3 linked regions of the Drosophila melanogaster genome follow. The protein of the gene in region 1 interacts with the protein of each later gene in a pairwise test. Each region holds a gene or a part of one and is shown on either strand. Other genes may lie near its edges.

What was found. Proteins that work in one complex are often made in the same cells at the same time.
Region 2: the proteins of CG15423 (region 1) and Marf1 interact in a two-hybrid assay, tested with the Drosophila melanogaster proteins (one large-scale study listed by BioGRID).
Region 3: the proteins of CG15423 (region 1) and betaTub85D interact in a two-hybrid assay, tested with the Drosophila melanogaster proteins (one large-scale study listed by BioGRID).

Annotation. Positions count from the first base shown.
Region 1 is NT_033779.5:4,004,402-4,007,232, forward strand, and holds CG15423 (uncharacterized protein), read left to right. Parts: upstream 1-1,639; 5' UTR 1,640-1,711; coding exon 1,712-2,035; 3' UTR 2,036-2,205; downstream 2,206-2,831. Other genes in the region: CG15422 (uncharacterized protein), read left to right, coding at 655-969.
Region 2 is NT_033779.5:22,310,295-22,315,062, forward strand, and holds the start of Marf1 (meiosis regulator and mRNA stability factor 1), read left to right. Parts: upstream 1-1,632; 5' UTR 1,633-1,744; intron 1,745-4,768.
Region 3 is NT_033777.3:9,407,747-9,411,967, reverse strand, and holds betaTub85D (beta-Tubulin at 85D), read left to right. Parts: upstream 1-1,685; 5' UTR 1,686-1,915; coding exon 1,916-2,308; intron 2,309-2,367; coding exon 2,368-3,315; 3' UTR 3,316-3,585; downstream 3,586-4,221. Other genes in the region: Task7 (TWIK-related acid-sensitive K[+] channel 7), read left to right, coding at 1-80, 144-299, 366-427, 482-882, 938-1,211; CG44261 (uncharacterized protein), read left to right, coding at 3,823-4,119. UniProt on the Drosophila melanogaster protein: Tubulin is the major constituent of microtubules, a cylinder consisting of laterally associated linear protofilaments composed of alpha- and beta-tubulin heterodimers.

The sequences.
Region 1 (2,831 bases):
AAATCCTTCACAATGAATTTATACCACGTAGCCTTACTTAACAACTATATGTCCTCAATAAAGTATAACCTTATAAACTAAGTTTTAGTTTATAGTTTTTAGTTTTTTTGCATATTTGTCATGAGTAATGGTTGAGTTTCAATCGAGTTGATTCCATCACACACACTCCCTCTTTTTATTATCAAAATCTCTAATCCGTGTTTTTTTTTTTTAAGTCTTTATCGGAACACCTGGTTAATTTAGACGGCAATCACTTGTTGTTTTGTTAATGTCTAGCAAAACTTTAATTCATTTTCACCAATGCTCTGTCAATGCTTCTATGCTCCTATATCAGAAATAATAACGCGTTACCCATAGATAAGCCGGAATCAGTTAATATAGTAAACAAAATGCGAGTAAAATAGCGAAACCCGATCACCTGTAAATGCACAACTGTCCGGTCGCTGTTATCAGACCTTGTCGAATGACTAAGCCATCTTATCTTTGCCTCTAACCACTGGAATAATTCCCACAAACCCTGATTGATGGAGCTTCGCAGTTCCAGTTTGTTTCGAGCTAGACGTGTTGTGCCACGGACTTTCCAGTATTCAACGCGTTGCTGGGTGGTGAAGTTGGTTCGGTTGGCTGGTTGATTATTTGGCTAGTTAATCAACTATGCGGTACTATGAAGATCCATGTGGCTATCCTCCTCGCCATCACCATGGTCGTCCAAATATCGAAATTGATGTGGTTCCCGGTTGGGGTGGCGGCTACTATCCGCCGCCGCCTCCGCCTCGGCCCGCCGAGGTAGTCTACATGACCCCGGCGGCTACCTATGTGCCCGGCACACAGGTGATAATGCCGCAACCCTACGGCGGCGTCACGGTGGCCACCACCAATGGATACTATCCGCAGCAGCAGCAGCAGGCGTACGAGTATCAGTACCAGTATCAGCAGCCCTACAACAATCCACCGTATCCGCAGTGGTGAACGAGGTCGGAATGGAAACGAAGCCATCACCACTAACAAAAAAAAAATATACTATCGATGGAGTGAAGGAAGGGATAGATAACAAGAAATCAAAACAAATATCACTTTGTCCTAATCTTAAGTTGAAATGACAACGCAAATGGTGCAATGGTCTTGACATTACGCACCACAAAGTTAACAAGTTAATAACCAGAGGAAGGTACAAAAAAACAAAACTGGAATTTAACTTTAACCGTTTCAAAGAAAATATAATTGTGCTATATAACCTTAAAACGAAATAAATAAAATATCTTGCTCTTCAAAAAACCTACCCGTCTTTAATTCTAAAAATATTCTAAATACTGCATTATCGATTTTATTTATGTTTATGTAATTTAGTGTGAGTCATCAATCAGAAGCATGGAATTAAGTCCTTCCTCTTAAATATAAAATTGTGATTCATGGAAACCTTGAACTCTCCTCATGAAATTCAATTCGGAATTTCGTATTTATCAAATGGCACTTATCAATTTTATTTTTTTTTTATCGAAAAAAACACATTTATTCCACCTGACAAGATAACCAACTAAGCTACTGTGCAAAACGCACATAACAAAATTAGGAAAAAAAATTCCCCCTCATTAGCGATAAAAATTGACTTAAATAGTTAAGCAGGCGAAGAAGCAAGTTCAGTTCGAGAAAGCAGTCAAAGGCATTCACTTCACCCACTAAGGATACAATACTTGGATAGTTTCTGAAGAAAATGCCGTACTACGAGGAGGAACGTCGTCATCACCATCATCACCATCACGGTGGAAGGCCAATTGTAGAGGTGGACATTGTGCCGCCAAGGATTCCTCGACCAGTGATTGAGATCGGAGTGGGCGGCCGGTATCCACCACCACCGCCCAGGGTGGAGGTCATCACACCAGCTGCCGTCTACCAGCCGCCACCACCACGACCCATTATCGAGGTGGATGTGGTGCCACCAAGAGCTCCCTTCATCGAGTTCAACATCGGCGGTCGGCGTCCACCTCCCAGGGAAGAGGTCATCATCGTTCAGCAGCCCCCACCGCCCAGGTGGTAGGCGTGGTCTCCATATGACCGTCGTTCAACAACGAAGTAAAAAACTTTAAAAATATTTATTAAACTTCATGTATTTCTGCAAATAGAAACTATAAACTAACTTTTTACAAAACCTAAGCTCTTGTATAATAAAAATAAAAAATAAATAAACAGTTCACTCCTTCATGTTTGAATTTCGTGTTTATACTACTATATACTATAGTATACTATATATTACGCACATATTTCTTCATGTAAGCTGACATTTTAATTTGCCTCAATCTTATTGCCAATGCAATTGTAAATCCGCTCGAAATATTTGCTTAAATAACTTAAATGCACTTTACCTTAATTGAAATATACTTGATTGGTTTTCAATGTCGGTTCTTGCTGTGACACATTTTCATATTGCGAATATATATGCCTGCATTTATTTGCAATGTTAATGGTACAAATATGAAAATTGAACTGCAGGCGAACGACATAAACAATGGTCATGGTCATGATTCCTTTTCCACTCTCTATTTTCCGTACGGGTAATTGCTTTCGTGGATTTTTTGTGGTTTTTGTATATATTATTTGGCTTCGGTTTTGCTATCTGACTGGTGGGAAATGATTGATGTCCTCTGGTCGTAGCCAGCTTATCAATTATTGTACAACTAGTGCTGTCAGTACATAAACATATTTTAAGCTTTATTATAACGAAAACTGGGCAATAGTTTTCTCAATTTAAATGGCGTAATAAATATAAAAGATCTTGCTGGACTCAAAGTAAAATTTGAATTATGATTTTATATGAAAAGTTATACCATTCTTGC
Region 2 (4,768 bases), about 18 Mb from region 1:
TGTTTGATTTATTTTTAAAATACTATTGCTGGGTAAGATAATCAAGCTTTTCGAAGTAGTAGGCATTTGATGTTAAAACTTCACATATACTATTTTGATATGTATTTTCCATTGATCATATTATTTGTTGATCCTGTATCTAGTAGGCATTTGTATGTGCACCCTTTGTATACTATTTTTATGTATTCGTGTTGTCGGGGCCGTTGACCGAAAATTTTCGTTTAGTTCAGAACCATTTTGATATATATATATTTTGATATATAATATTTCGTTATTAATTTGTACGGGTTGGATCGGTTGTTGCCCTTCATTTATGAACCCATGATTTTGATATGGATTGTATTGATTTTGGTCATAATACTGTTGTTCGTAATAATTAGGTTGGACTTGTTCGAATTCATGTGCGTCTTGGAATCTCATTTCGTCAATAGACATTTTGAAGTTAGAATTCTTAGTTGTGGAGGCTTGTTGTATTGTAGTTGAGGGTATGTATTTCTTATAAAATGTGCTGTTTGAGGATTTTGGATTTGTTGGAAATGACTTTTGGGAATACTTGGTTGAATGCTGATATATGGGCTGGACTTGAAATAATTGGGTGGTATTGATTAAAATTAGGATGGAAGGGTTGAGAATATTGTGGGTAACTTGGTGGATATTGATACAAATACCCAATTGTATTGAAGTTGTGTGATTTTGAATTCAGATAAGGATTTGAGTTTTATTACGGATTTCGAGAAATTTGTTCAATCCAAAATTATTATGTTCTTTATAAATTCCCTCACTCTGTGCAATAGTAAAGTCTGTAATATCACGATGAGCCAAAATATTGTAGTAAATAATTGTATTGGTAGTTATAAGAGTCACTCGTGGAGTCAAAAAGGCATACCAGATTCGTAGAAAAGTATGTAACAGTCGGGAGAAAGCGTTTCCGACTGTATAGAGCTTACATATGTATAAATATATTTGATAGGGATCAATAGCCGGAGTCGATCTGTCCGTGTCAACGTCGAGATCTCAGGAAATATAAGAACTAGACGGTTGAGATTAAGCATACAGATTCTAGAGACATAGACGCAGCGCAAGTTTGTTGACGCATATTGCCACGCCCACTCTAACGGCCACAAGCCGCCCAAAACTGTCAGTTATTAGTCGATTTGACAAAAACTTTTTGCCACGCCCACTGTAACGCCAAGAAGCCGCCGAAGTGGTCACGCCCACACATTTGAACAATTTTTAATTACTTCTCATTTTATTCCCCAATATCTATCGATATCCCACAAAAATGATAAAAATTTCGCGTTTGCATTCATACTAGCTGAGTAAAGGGTATCTGATAGTTGGGGAAAACGACTATAGCATTCTCTCTTGTTGTATATCTGTAAGTTCATTGGATGAATTGAATTTCCTCCCAATTTTTCCTTTTTTTATTTTTTTTTTGTTTGTTGAACAAGGTGCTTGTTAAAGAAACTACAATTGAGCCAAGACAATTTTATAAAACTACAAAAAGAAAAATTATTTAATCAAAATAATAAAAATTTAATTAACCCCAAACTTTTCAATCACCTTCCAGTGCCTATGCCCGCCACCTTCCAGCCTCCACACAAGTCATCAATGTTTTCTACACACGTAGCCTCCTCAGTTGTTTAAGGGATCACAAAGTCTAAGCTTCGCATGTGCCGTGTTGTTTTAAGTGAATTTTGAGTTTTATTGTCGTAAATTATATAATTAGTTCATATACAATCATGTAAGTACAACAAATATTAATAAATATTCTTAGTGGCATGACCATTAGTAAAATATTAATTGAATTACTATATTACTTAATCTAAGCCTATGATTATAGTACCAATATTAATTAAGAATGATCTATGAATAACGATTTTAATCATTTTAATAATCCAATGACTGGTTAAGGCTCTAGGCAAATTACTTAAACAAGTGCTAACGAACATTACATTGACTGCATTTCGCGCGGGAGTATACATATACATACACATTTTTATGTACGCACATGTATGCCAAGAAAATGGCTTAAAACTAAATTCATGTAGAATTTGTATAGTGCACGATAAAAATGCAACCCAAATTCAACCATAAGCACATTTATTTTGATGGTCTGCAGCACTTCGCAAGTTTTGAAACCAATTCGGATATTATATTTTAAATTTCCTTTTCGTTTAGTATTCACAAAATCCGACGATTTTAAACACATATTCATATTCATATAGATAGTTGAATTGAAACTGTTTTCCAACCAAATTGGTTGGAAATTGATATTGATGTGTGTTGTGGATTGGAAAGGAGGATGTGTCGTGTTGCTACGCGTGCATCTTATGAAGAGTGTTGGGATTTATATTGATGTACACATAAACATACGTAACAATTTAAGCTAGGGCTAAAACAGATTAAATAAATTCGAGTTAATAAAATAAAATGGCTCATTATGCACGCTTTTCGTATAATTTCCCGAGCCTATAAAATATGTACAGTATGAAGTGAGCATACACCACATGGCTTAAGCTTAGAAAAAAATATCTTTATTTTTTATTGTACAAAAAATTAATGATGTGATAGTTGTGCGGATGATCTTAAATCCTGCTCGTGGAAGCATTTTTTTATATCATGAACCTAAACAGGTGTCGAATTGTTGTTGGATAGTTTGCTGTTATCACTCGATCAGAATCTATATGCGAAAACAATTTTGCCCACGGCCACTCTACTTCAAGCCACTTCAACTTCAAGCCGCCCACACGTTCGAAAAATTATTTTATTTGTCTACAGTTTTTTTGACAATTTTAATCGATAACCTAATAAAATGAAACAGTACATTTTTCTTGTGCTCTCCCACTATCTGAGTATCCGGTATCAAGAAACTCGACTATATCGTAATTTCTTGTCTTACCTCTTAAGTATTAAGTATTACCTAGTATTAAAATATATATTTGAAATATGTATGTATAAGATGAGTGCTGTGTTTCTCATCTTCCTATATATTATGAAAATTACAAGCTTAAAGTTAACCGCTTAAGACAGATCACCATACGCTCCCTCGATTAATAATTACCTGGAAAGCCTGTTGAGCCTAGATTTTCTTCGCATAAAGTAAATGTACATTTTTTTAACTCTATGCCGCGGAAAAACGTTGGTAATTTGGAAAAATTATATTCCGCCTACAAAAGGTAATCCTTTAAGTAATCCAAATGCTGTGTGATGGTACAGGTGTTGGAGGTGACCTGGAACAACGGACAGACGGCGATGACAGAAATGGGGCGGAGTCATTAAGAAACCATTATAAATGAGGATTCAGTTTGGTTTTATTAAGATTGCAGCGCTTTCTAATTCGGAAGAAATGTTACTTAACTACTACTTAACGAAATTCTGAATATTGTCAACAAAATCTGAAGAAAAATCAATGTACAAAATCTTAACAAATTCTGCAGAAGTTTGGAAAGGTGTGAAAATGAACTTCAGCAAGGTTCAAAAATCTGAAAACAAATTAGTAAAAAAAAAGCACATGTAATGTTTTAATGTAACCAGGGAGTACAAAATGTGTATACATTTCAGGTAACCATGAAAGCAAAGTAATATTTGAAAAGAAAATTAATTAGCTTCCTAGGTCACATCCCCAACCGTAGATGTCTATGAGCAAACTTCTTTGCCCGAATTCGGGAGTCAAGGGAGTCAAGGGAATTGGAGACCTATGCGGTTTTCAGGCACTACCGGTCCACAATAAAGTGGGGAAAACGCATATGCGGTCTTAGCCACTTATTTCTCATTTTGGACTGGACTTTGTTAAGAAGGTAAATGCAAATATTATTTTCGTAAAGAATTCTCTAGAACATGAAAGCGGCACAATAATGATAATTGTATTATTGAATCGTCGAGGGCCTTGGCAACCGGGACCGGGACATTTGCAGACCCTTATCAAGCCATTCCTTAATAAAATCGCTACTATCCAATCCGATTGGGAACGCGTAATTATTAAAAATAACCTTTTCCCAATGGGCGTATCGCATAGGTCATAATCAGAAAATCGAGATAACCTTACAACAACCGCGTGTGTGTTTTCGATAAAAAAGGACATTGTGAAAATGGCAATAAGAAAAACGTATCGTTATCCATTTTAAGAAACTAAAGAACGCTATTGACGCTGAATACTTTACAATACTTCAAATTATGGGAAAAGCTCCACATTTTACAACATCGGACCTTAAATCGTAATTCCATCAAATCGAGTAATTAGAGAAATACAGGGAAACCCCTGAAATATTTTTTAATGACGAACTGCATTTCTACAGAACTACAGAACTGCATTCTGCACCACTCGGACTGCAAATTGCACCAAATTTTTTCCAAAGGACAATCGATGATGCTTTGCGGAACAGATCTTAAATAAACATGCTACGTGTATGTCGATGACGTCAGTTCTTCACAAAAACTAAAGATCATCAAATAAGATATAGAACAGAGCTTAAAAAGTTTATAAAAGCCGGCATCAGGCAGTCTCAAGAAAAGTAAATCGAGGCCTTCCAATCACCTACGTTGATTTACCAAAACTAATATTGCCATCATTCATAGTGATGATGCTCTCTCGTACCTTTTAACTGTTTCCGTAATCAAAAATAATCGCGGAAGCAGACTTCTCATCTACGAAAATCTTTATCCGGCCAAAATAAATTTCTATCGTTTCCCAAAAAAAAACGTTTTGCCACGCCCACTCTAACGCCCTAAAACCGCCCAAAATTGATGGATATTTCTTCATAATTTT
Region 3 (4,221 bases), on another chromosome or scaffold:
CACCTATCTTTTAATTGGAGCCGCCGTGTTCGATTCCCTGGAGTCACCAACGGAGGCCAAAAGATGGGAATTCCTACAGAGTGAGAAGCTTGTTGATTTATTAACCTAATTTCTTAGTAATGAATTTATTTAATCAATTGTAGCCGTTAAGAACAACTTTGTTAGAAAGTACAATGTGACTGACGAGGATTTCCGTGTGATGGAAATCGTCATCATTGAAAATAAGCCCCACAAGGCCGGACCTCAGTGGAAATTCGCTGGAGCTTTCTATTTCAGCACGGTTGTACTGGCAATGATAGGTAAATTAATTATCTATTAAATATGATTTATTGAATAGATTATAATTCTGTTGTAACTTTCTTTAGGATATGGTCATTCTACGCCAGTTACAATTCCGGGAAAAGCATTTTGTATGGGCTATGCTATGGTAAGTGAACTTACAATCCCAATTTCCAGTCTTCTAAAGATATTCCCTTATTAGGTGGGCATCCCGCTGGGTCTGGTGATGTTCCAGTCTATCGGAGAACGTCTGAATAAGTTTGCATCCGTGATAATAAGGCGGGCAAAGAGAGCCAGTGGAGCTCGCTGTACGGATGCCACCGAAATGAATCTCATGTTGGCCACCGGAATGCTCTCCTCCATAATAATCACCACTGGAGCAGCAGTCTTTTCCCGATACGAGGGTTGGAGCTACTTCGATAGCTTCTACTATTGTTTTGTCACCTTGACGACAATTGGTTTCGGCGATTATGTGGCATTGCAGAACGACCAAGCTCTAACTAATAAGCCTGGCTATGTGGCGCTGAGCTTGGTCTTCATCCTATTCGGCTTGGCCGTGGTGGCCGCCAGTATCAATCTATTGGTGCTCCGATTCATGACCATGTGAGTCCATGTTCTATTGCAGGAAATATCTTATTTAATGGATTTTTAATCACAGGCAAGCAGAGGATGCCAAGAGAGATGAGCAGGATGCTCAGAACTTGGCTGGAAATGCCCAGCCGGTGACCTTCGATGATGAGTCCACGTACAATATGCACGGCAAGCTGCTGGAGAACAACTACACAACGGAGAACGATGAGACCGCCTCCCTGTGTTCCTGCACCTGCATGGGTGGCACCAGGTGCCTGAATCATGAGCAGTTCGTGGACCCGGACTTTCAGCCTACCGACATTATCGAGAGCACCTTGTGCCTGAAGCGAGCCTCCGTCTGATATCCGTACAGCCAGCTGTGGGACTCCTCATTGTAGGAGCCAGAGCCAATGGATCACCAAATCGTAGTTACAATCCTGTAGAGAACCATCCGCCGCCAAAATTTGGTTGTTAGACAAACCTTCCTCCCTACGTAGATTTTTAAACCAGGATGGGTCATAATACATATAAGTTTGGAGAGCAAGGTTAATAGTCTTTAAAAGGCAGTTTTTGCTTAAGAAATAATCGACCCATCCCATTATACACCCATATAAACATTTACAAAGGAGTAAAATCCAGGACATCCATGTCAATATCAATCGTATCATCTGGTCGGTAGCCTTGGAATCCTCTATTGCTTCCAAGGCACCGCCAAATCCATCCCATCTCGAATTTTAGCCGTATATTCGTTTATCTATGTAAGTACTATTAAAGTTTGTGCTCAAAACGGAGAACTGAGTTTTCTGAAATCGGGGTGTGTGAAATGTGTCGAAGTCGGAAATCGTAGTAGCCTATTTGTGAACATTCGGTGTAGTAATCCAAGCCAGGTTCAGTTCACCTCAGTATCAGCTAGCACGTACACGACTAAAATCTAAACCTGAAAAATTATACGTTTAAATATTCAGTCTTTTGCCGATTTTTGCCCCACTCAGACTGTTTTAAAAGCTCGATTTTTTTTTGTACCATTTTTTCGGTGTGAAAAAGGGGCCCTAACTTTACTATCAAAATGCGTGAAATTGTACACATTCAGGCCGGTCAATGCGGTAACCAGATCGGTGGTAAATTCTGGGAGGTAATCTCGGATGAGCACTGTATAGATGCGACCGGAACGTACTACGGCGATAGTGATCTCCAGCTGGAGCGCATCAATGTATACTACAATGAAGCCACCGGTGCCAAGTATGTGCCACGCGCAATTCTCGTGGACCTGGAGCCCGGCACCATGGATTCGGTTCGTTCTGGCGCCTTTGGCCAGATCTTCCGGCCGGACAATTTTGTGTTTGGCCAATCGGGAGCAGGCAACAACTGGGCCAAGGGTCATTACACCGAGGGTGCTGAACTGGTGGATTCCGTCTTGGATGTGGTGCGAAAGGAGTCCGAGGGATGCGATTGCCTTCAGGTAAGTTTTGGGGGTTTGGGAATTTATCTGAAAAAGTTTACCCTACTTTTCTCCAACAGGGCTTCCAGCTGACCCACTCGCTGGGTGGCGGCACTGGCTCCGGCATGGGAACCCTGCTGATCTCGAAGATCCGCGAGGAGTACCCGGACCGCATCATGAACACCTTCTCGGTGGTGCCCTCGCCCAAGGTGTCCGATACGGTGGTGGAGCCCTACAATGCCACCCTGAGTGTGCATCAGCTGGTGGAGAACACCGATGAGACGTACTGCATCGACAACGAGGCGTTGTATGACATCTGCTTCCGCACACTGAAGCTGACCACGCCCACCTACGGTGACCTGAACCATCTGGTTTCGGCCACCATGTCTGGTGTGACGACCTGCCTGCGCTTCCCTGGCCAGCTGAACGCTGATCTTCGCAAGCTGGCCGTGAACATGGTACCCTTCCCCCGGCTGCACTTCTTCATGCCCGGATTCGCACCGCTCACCTCGCGAGGATCGCAACAATACCGGGCCCTTACCGTTCCGGAGCTGACCCAGCAGATGTTCGATGCCAAGAACATGATGGCTGCGTGCGATCCGCGACATGGTCGCTATCTGACCGTCGCCGCCATCTTCCGTGGCCGCATGTCCATGAAGGAGGTGGACGAGCAGATGCTCAACATTCAGAACAAGAACAGCAGCTTCTTCGTGGAATGGATCCCGAATAACTGCAAGACAGCGGTGTGCGATATTCCGCCCAGAGGTCTCAAGATGTCGGCCACCTTCATTGGCAACTCCACCGCCATTCAGGAGCTATTCAAACGGGTTTCGGAGCAGTTCACCGCCATGTTCCGAAGGAAGGCCTTCTTGCATTGGTACACCGGCGAGGGAATGGACGAAATGGAATTCACAGAGGCCGAGAGCAACATGAACGACTTGGTTTCTGAATATCAGCAGTACCAGGAGGCGACTGCCGATGAGGAGGGCGAATTCGATGAAGACGAAGAGGGTGGCGGCGATGAATAATAGGATTAACTTCCCACTCAAGATCACACATGAACACCAAAACAGGCTAGCAGGGGAACCCATTAGGAAGGCACAACACATTGGATCTTTGGGCCTTAGCATATTGTGCTTCGAGGCCCGTCGGTTGTACATATTTCCTATATGGATTCTTCACTGTTCGATTATTTATCATTCACACACGTACAGAAGAAATATGTCCACCTTTGTTAAGCTCATGTTGCAATTGCTGTGATTTCTGGGTTACGAATAAATGTTGATTTATAAGCAGACAAGATTACCAACAGCATTTTGCATATTTTTATACCGTTCAAAAGGCATTGCATAAACCTAAACATTAATATATAAATATTCTGGATTGAATTGAATTTGAGGCTAAGCGCTCAATATCGAAAATCTATATTTTGTTGGCAATCATTTTTTAGAGTTGCCTTACGAAAGTGACAGCTTTCCTTTCTGACAGGCCGTCATCATTCAAGTCATTCAAGTCATTGAAGTCAAGGCACCAAGATGTATTTTCCGACTACTCCAGTTACCTCTCGCAGTGGCTATCTGCGCGGCCGAAAGCGCATAAATCCGCATCCCATATCGCAACTGCAGAGTGGAAAACCGACGTCGGAAGACGACCAGGATAGCACAAATGTTGATCTAGAAGAATCAATCAGCTCAAGCTACTCATCGGAGACGGACATCTCGATGAACGTGGAGGCGCAGGACACCAGCACGGATAGTGGTCTGGACACTAGCCAGGAGAGCAGCAACGAACCGCGCTACTCCCTTCGAAAGATGGATAAGAATCCTCTTTAGTGGTTTATTCAACTGAATGGTCTACATGGGTGTAAAGGAACAGCAGCAGCAGCAGTGGCATCGGGAAATACTTAAGCGCGAGCGAAATATTGAGATACTCGG